Callithrix jacchus: one gene and its partner. The protein of the gene in region 1 interacts with the protein of each later gene in a pairwise test. Links are inferred from orthologs where the notes say so. Each region holds a gene or a part of one and is shown on either strand. Other genes may lie near its edges.

Region 1 (4,242 bases):
ACACACCTGAAGCTGAGGATGCACGGTGCCTGCCAGGTTCCCAGCCTCTGTGCGAGGGAAGTCCATGATGCCTACAGGTCTATAGGCTTCCATCTCAAAGGTGGGAAAGGCTGTGCCTGTGTGGGAGGCTGGGTGTGTGAGCCAATCCCTCCTTCCAGGATAGGGTACAGAGTGGGCCGTGGGGGGGACATCAGGGCTGGATCCCAGCCTGCATGTGGGCCTGGATCCGCTGCTCCTGAGCCAGGCCTTCTCTTCCTGAGAGCTGTTTCCCACAAGTCCCCGGGGTCTCACCCTGGTTGAAGAGATCGATGAAGTCCAGAACTGTGGCCACCAGGGCCCTCATCCTCGAGAAAATGTCAGCCCGCAGCACACCCTGTGGCTGGGGGCCCAGCTCCAGAGCTGGAGACCAGGAAGCAAGGAATAGGACCCATGAACTCCTTGGAGAGGCCCCGCCCCCTGGTGCATGGCCCCACCCCCAGCCCTCCTGGTCCCGCCCACTTCTCAGGAGGCCCCGGCTTACCCAGTCCATTTTTGGCCACGGAGTCCAGACTGTAGCTCTCCTCCCCGGACCGCTGGTACAGGAAGACCTGGCAGGACAGCTCGGGGTACTGCAGCTGGGGGGCGAGAGAGGCAGGTTAGGGGTCCAGGCCTAGGTGGGAGGGGAAGCAGGTGGGGGGCGTGGCATGGAGGAAGCACAGGGCACCACCCTCCTTGGCCAGGTCTCCCTCTGTCCTCTGGCAGGGCAGGGGAGGGGGTGTCCGGGGCCTGCAGTGCTGGCCGGTGGCAGACCCCGAAGACTGGAACCCAGGGGACCTCAGCCCGGGGAAGAGGGACTAATCAAAGAGGTTCCGGTCTTGCCCCACCCTGCCCTCCTTCCCTCTCCCCTCTGGGGCAGTATGCTCGGCCGAGGCCACCTGCAGATGGCGGCACAGGTGCAAGGCAAAGACGTCGTGGGAGGACTCTGCGATGAAGCAGGTGCCCATGTTGGCCGTGCTGGTGTGCAGGTCAAGGACAAAGTCAAAGGCCTGGCCCGAGGCCTTGGGTCCCAGCAGCTGGTTCAGCTCTCGGGCTCTCGTCACCTCGTATGGGTCATCCGGGGTAGGCCTGGAACTGCGGGAAACGGGAATGGGGGACGCCCACCCCACAGTCTCAGTCAGTCTTCAGTGGTTTAAGTGGGGAGGGGCAAGGGCCCCGCAGGAGCCACTCTGAGCGGCTCAAGGCTTGTCCCTCTTCCGTTGTGGCTGTGCTCGCCCCTGCCCATGGCCCTCTTGGCTCTGCACTTCCCGGTCATGTCCAAGCCCTCAGTCTGGCCTGCCCTCCCGCCTGCCTACCCACTCACCTGCCTCTCATGCCCTCACTCCAGCCACACTGCCCAAGCAGCATGCTGGTCTCACCCGCAGGCCTGTGTTCGTGCTGGGCCCTCCACTGGAAACTCCCTCTTACTTTCTCTTCCCCTGGCTAGTTTTACTCAGCCTTTGGGGCTTGGCTGAGATACCACTGCCTCCAGGAAGCCTTCCCTGACTGCTCTCGGCCAGGTTAGCTGTTTTGTGTAGCCCCCAGGCCTGCCTTTAGCCACCTGGGTTATGGTTGCCCAGTTCTTCCTCTGTGTCCCCATTAAGCAGGAAGCCAGTATCTTGGTCCTATTCCCCCTTCTCTCCCCTGAGCTGGCCAGAGCCTGGTCTGGAGATGGGGCTCAGTGACTATTCTTTGGAAGGAGGCACGAACAGTGGTCAGGGCACATGACAAGTAAACATGGCCTGTGGAGTGAATCTGAAGGAAGCACTGGGTCTGGGATTCCCAGAGGAGGTCCTGACACAACTTGCAGTCAGGAAGGGCTTCTTGGAAGAGGTGACATCAATCTGGGTTTCTCTACATGTTCAGTTTGTCCCCATGGAGGAATGGGCCACACAGGTAGAGGGGAAGCAGGAGTGAAGGCAGGGAGGGCCCTGCTGGTGGCTGGAGGGGTGGTGTGCGGTGGGGACTCGCTGCCCAACTGCCTGTGCCAACCTGGTGGCAAGAGAACTCACTTGAGGAAGGTGCTGGTGAAGGTGCGGTTGAGGTCGCGGTCCACGTAGCGGCGGCAGGCCGTGGTGGCTGCGGGGTTGGCCAGTACCGGCACTGCGGAGAAGCTGGGTCTCTGCAGCTCTGCCGGGGCCAGCAGCCAGTGCCGCACCAGGTAGACGCCGGACATCTCATTGCCGTGTGTGCCCCCGGCCACCGCCACGCGGCGCAGGGGCTCCCGGGGCACGGGCAGTGAGCACATGCTGGCATGGGGCGGCACCTGGGGGTGGGCATACTCAGGAGACCCCGGCCCCAAGGCAGGGCCCCAGACTCAGAGTGGGGATGGCGGTGGGAGGGCTGAGGAGTCCCAACTCCACAGGGCAGCCACCTGCCAGGAGGTGTGGCCGGCTGGGGGTGTCTCAGCTCTGTCCCACCTGCACCCCGGTGGCCCTTTCTCTGATGAGACAATTCTCCTGCTTCTTTGGAGAGAACAAATTTCTTTTTCCTAAACTGAGAAGCGGGGCCCAGTCATTCAGGTAGACGGGTTCACCGAGGCACACTCCCTACAGGGAAAGGGCTCTGCCCCTTTTTATAGTCAGGGAAACTGAGGCTCAGTGTGGGGAGTGGAAAGAAGCGTCACCAGAGTTCACTGTCGTGTGTCTGGGTTCTAGGCAACTGCTGCCCTTCCTGCCTCTCCCGTATGCTCCTCTGAGCTGGTGTGGGGGTCTTAGGGCAGGGGGCACTTACCTGCTGATGTGCAGCTGGGCTTCCCGGGGTACCCTGGCTGGTGTCTAACTGGCAGACAGGCTGGTATTTCTGGGCCTGAAGATCCACAGACGGGAAGTGTTTGTGTCAAGTCGGCAGAGAGCAGGGGGCGGATGGGACGGGCTGAGGTCCACGCAGCCAAAGGTTGGAGTGCCAGGGTCAGCTCCACAGGCACTGCCCCACCCTCCCCTCTCTGCTGCTTGGGCTGCTATGGCCCATTGAGCCCAGGCCCTGCTGGCAAGTTCCTGCCCCTGCCCTTTGTTCCTCTAACACTACTAAGAGGGGCACCTGGGTGGCCACCAGGGTGACAAGTTGTCCCTCCTTCACCACCTCGGCCCCCAGAGGGCTCTGGTCACTCCTGAGTGGCCCTTACCCACAGGTGCCATGTGGAGCCCCAGTTTTGCAGCTCTTTGTTGCTTTAAGCAAAATTTCAAAATGTCAGATTCGATAACCCAGTCATTTTCCAGGACAGCATAATTCAGAGGACTCAGTTTGCCCTGTTTTAGAAACGACCCTCAGGCTCATTTTATAGATGTGAAAACTGAGGTTCAGACGGATGCCCACAGGCACACAGAGCCGCCCTAGAGACAGGCAGGCCAGGGGCACATAGAGCCGTAGTGGCAGGCTGCTGGTGGCACTCAGAGCCCTGGAGGTGGGTTGCAGGTGGCACTCAGGGCATCCAATCTGGCTCCACCCCTCCAGCTACCTCTCAAGAGCAAGGAGGGGAAGGATGAAGGTGAGGTCCCCTGCACTCAGCCCCAGGGCTTGTCCCTCCCACCAGGCTCAGCTGTCTGCTGGGAGAAGCTGAGGCCAGTCCAGAGGTCACTGGGGCGTGAGGCAAGCCGCTTCGCCAGGGCCTGCTGTATGCCAGGCGCTGGGACCCTCAACTGGAGCCTCCCCCAGGCATCAGTCCCAGGCCTTCTTCACCACCACACGGGGTCTCCCCAGGACAGCCCAGCCCTGCTGCAGATGCCAGGCTCACCAGCCTGGGGGGTCTCTGGGTGGCTAGGACCCTCTAGGCTAACCCCTCTCGGAAGCTGCCCAGATCACACTCAACTCTGTGTGGCCTGGGCTCTCCTGCACCCACACTCGGGGCTCTGCAAGCTCAGAGCACGGGGATTGTGGGGCAGGGGACTTGTCGTCCTGGCTCCCATCAGGGCAGCTGGGTCCTTGACGAGGTGCCAAGAGGGGCAGATGGAGCGTGAGGCTGAGCACCCAGCAGGCCAGGGCTACCTAAGAGCCCCTCCAGGGGCCACCACTCCTGGCATCTGGAGCCTCAGCAAAAGGAGGGCAGAGACTGCCATTAGGGGGCCATGCCATGCCATCCACTCTGGCCCAGCCCTGGGGGCAGCTGTCACTGACTCCGTTTTCCAGGTGTGGACTGAAGAAGCTCCGGGGCTTGAGCAACTTGACTGAGTCCCTGGCAGGTGGCAGGAGAGGGAGTCAGCAGAGGAGCCTGCTGGCCTGGGTCTGGTC
Region 2 (3,554 bases), on another chromosome or scaffold:
AGTGAGCTGAGATTGCGCCATTGAACTCCAGCCTGGGCAATAAGAACAAAACTCTGTCTCAAAAAAAAAGGTATATTTATAATAGCAGCTCTCAAATGGGGATGATTTTACAAGGAGGTCATTTGGCAATGTCTGGAGACATTTTTGGTTGTCATAGCTGTATGTGTGCATGTGTGTGTGCTGCGGGCACGCAGTGGGTAGAGGCCCGGGATGTTGCTAAATACCCTACATAGCACAGGACAGCCCTAACTGGTCCAAAATATCAAGAGTGCAGAGGTTGAGAAATCTTGCTCTAGAGGAGCTGGTTCCAAGATGTGAGAACTCTGGGGACAACAGGGGATAAAAGAACAATCAATTCATCCATCTCTGCCCTTACTTTTTTTTGTTCTTTTTTGAGATGGAATCTCGCTCTGTCGCCCAGGCTGGAGTGCAGGGACACAATCTCGACTCACTGCAACCTCCGCCTCCTGGGTTCAAGCGATTCTCCTGCCTTAGCCTCCCGAGTAGCTGGGATTACAGGCTCATGCCACAACACTTGGCTAATTTTTTGTATTTTTAGTAGAGACGGGGTTTCACCATGTTAGTGACTTGACCTCGTGATCTGCCTGCCTTGGCCTCCCAAAGTGTTGGAATTACAGGCGTGAGCCACCACCACCATGCCCGACACACTTACAATTTCTTATAGGCCAAGAGGTCCTGGGGCTATGGAGATGAATAATCCATACTCTTGCTCTTTAAAAACGTATCATCATATAGTTTGCAATAATTACAGAATGCTACATTAGCAGGGTTGTGCACCAGAATCTCTCAGAGGTACTTGCTAAGATAGGATTCCCAGGCCCCATAGACCTATCAAGTCAGAATCTCCAGTAAAGGGGTCAATAAGCTTCTCCAGTTTTCCAGGGTCTTGTGTTGACAATTCTGTTCCAGTGGTGGGGAGGTGAGAGAGGCTGTCAGAGGGACAATATGAAGACCGGCCGGACTAAGGCTAGAAGGGCAGTGAATGGGTACAAGTAAGAATTATTCCAGGCAGAGAGATTACCATGTGCAAAGACACAGCAGCTGACCTTCCTAGGTGAATCTACCTACACATCTGAGCACCCAGTTCTCCATCAGTAAATCTTGAAATTTACTGGATTAAAAGCAGAGGAAAAATAAAGATGAAGAAAATGTTTCCAAAAATTAAAAAAAATAAAAATAAAAAATGAAAATGTTTCCCAAACAAGGAAGCAGAAAGTCTGCCATATGGGAACAAGAATTCAGGGCAGCCTATGATATTCAGCCACAATATCCTCATAAGAAGTTAATGTTCTACCAGATACGATCAGCAACTTATCACTTACCATCATTTCCCAGTTGCTCCTGTACTTTCTCAAAGTCCGACCCGCCTACTACTCCGATTTTGATCTTCTGCCTCAATTTTTGCAGGAAGTCATCCATTTCTTTGGTAATTTTCTAAATTTCAAGAAGGAAAACACAACAGTCATTAGCCACAAAATAATCAGGTGACAAAAACTCTAAGGGTAACACAATTACACAAGTTTTATTTTTTTCTTTAAAAATTAAAGAAAAAAAATTTTTTGGCATACAGTCTCACTTGCCACCCAAGCTGGAGGGCAGTGGTATAGTCATAGCTCACTGTAGCTTCGACCTCCCTGGGCTCCGGTGATCCTCCTACCTCAGTCTCCTGAGTAGCTGGGACCACAGGTATGTGCCACCACACCTGGCTAATTTTTAAATTTTTTGTAAAGACAAAGTTTTGCCATGTTGCCCAGGCTGGTCTGGAACTCCTGGGTTCAGGAGATCTGCCAACCTTGGCCTCCTGAAGTGCTGGGATTACAAGCATGAGCCAGGCCTACAAGCCTTATTTTCATACATGCCAATTCAGTTACCAGCAATGTACACAGTTCAAATATTTCAGTTGTAATTTGGAGGCATTTTTACCAGAATAAACTTGTTATTTTTGCCAAACTTTAAACACACAGGCAATAGATTAGTAGCTGTTCTGCAATGTCCCAGTTATTTTTCTATGCATTTATAAGACTCATCTATGGGCACATATAGAAATAGGCCTTATTTTTGAAACATAAATGGAATCATTCTATGTACTGTGCAGTGACTTGCTTTCTCAGCACTATGTTATGGCGATCTTTTCATGCAACACAGATCTAACTCATCCTTCCTTTTAAATACTACACTATACACAATTTATGGATTTAAATTTTTTTTCTTTTTTTTTTTTTTGAGACAGAGTCTTGCTCTGGATGCCAGGCTGGAGTACAGTGCCATGATCTCGGCTCACTGTAACCTCTGCCTCAGCCTCCCAAGTTGCTGGGACTATAGGCACATGCCACCATGCCCGGCTAATTTCTTTTGTATTTTAGTAGAGACAGGGTTTTACCATGTTGGCCAGGATGGTCTCTATTTCCTGACCTCCTCATCTGCCTGCCTCGGCCTCCCGATGTGCTGGGATTACAGACGTGAGCCACAGTGCCTGGCCCAAGTTGTTGATTTTTAAACAAATTAACAATGAGATTAAAGAGGAAGCTCAGAACTGATTTATTGCCCAAAACAAAAAAATGTAAAAGAGTAAGATGACTAGAATTTTTAGTCTCTTCTAAAAGCACCTATCTAGAAAGAGTGATCTTAATGGTATAATCTTACAGTACATTCCAGACTGTGTGGTGATTTTAAAAAGTTGTAAACTAAGATGAAAAAATAGCCCTAGGCCGGGTGCAGTGGCTCACGCCTGTAATCCTACAACTTTGGGAGGCCGAGGTGGGTGGATCACCTGAGGTCAGGAGTTCAAGACCAGCCTGGCCATCAGGGTGAAGCCCCATCTTTAAAATAAATAAATAATTAAAAGAAAAAGAAAAAATAGCCCTACATTAAGACACATCACAATTTTTTTTAAACTGTACTTTAGGTTCTGGGGTACATGTGCAGATCATGCAGGATTGTTGCTTAGGTACATACATGGCAACTCCCCCCATCACCTCTATCTGGCATTTCTCCCCATGTTATCCCTCCCCAACTTCCCCACACCTCGCTGACCCTCCCCTAGGTATTTTTACAAGTCTTATAACTCAGTACCTTGAGTGGTACATTTACACTGAATGTCTTTTTTTTTTTTGACGGAGTCTTGTTCTGTCACTCAAGCTAGAATGCAGTGGTGGTCTCAGCTCACTACAACCTCCACCTCCCCAGTTCAAGCAATTCTCCTGCCTCAGCCTCCCAAGTGGCAGGGATTACAGGTGCCCATCACCACACTTGGCTAATTTTTTTGTATTTTTAGTAGAGACAGGAGTTCACCATGTTGGCCAGGCTAGTCTCAAACTCCTGACCTCGGCCTCCCAAAATGCTGGGATTACAGGCATGAGCTATGGTGCCCAGCTGAGTATCTCTTTTAAAAAGTTTCTAGAAATTTAGAAAATACAAAAAGCCATTTAATTCAACCTCAGTTTAAGAACACTTGGAGTCCAATGATTAAAAAAAATTTTTTTAAGAGTAATACATGAATTTGATAAATAAAATTGTACAGACAGGTTTGTAAT

The links.
Region 2: the proteins of ACY3 (region 1) and PMM2 interact in binary tests that used the Homo sapiens proteins (3 or more experiments, as listed by UniProt). The two-hybrid records come from large-scale screens. The link is inferred for Callithrix jacchus from reciprocal best matches to the Homo sapiens genes ACY3 and PMM2.

What each region holds. Positions count from the first base shown.
Region 1 is NC_133511.1:124,734,139-124,738,380, forward strand, and holds the start of ACY3 (N-acyl-aromatic-L-amino acid amidohydrolase (carboxylate-forming)), read right to left. Parts: upstream 2,826-4,242; 5' UTR 2,749-2,825; intron 2,282-2,748; 5' UTR 2,264-2,281; coding exon 2,028-2,263; intron 1,111-2,027; coding exon 915-1,110; intron 615-914; coding exon 521-614; intron 400-520; coding exon 292-399; intron 117-291; coding exon 1-116. UniProt on the Homo sapiens protein: Plays an important role in deacetylating mercapturic acids in kidney proximal tubules. Also acts on N-acetyl-aromatic amino acids.
Region 2 is NC_133513.1:11,051,536-11,055,089, reverse strand, and holds part of PMM2 (phosphomannomutase 2), read right to left. Parts: intron 1,456-3,554; coding exon 1,344-1,455; intron 1-1,343. UniProt on the Homo sapiens protein: Involved in the synthesis of the GDP-mannose and dolichol-phosphate-mannose required for a number of critical mannosyl transfer reactions.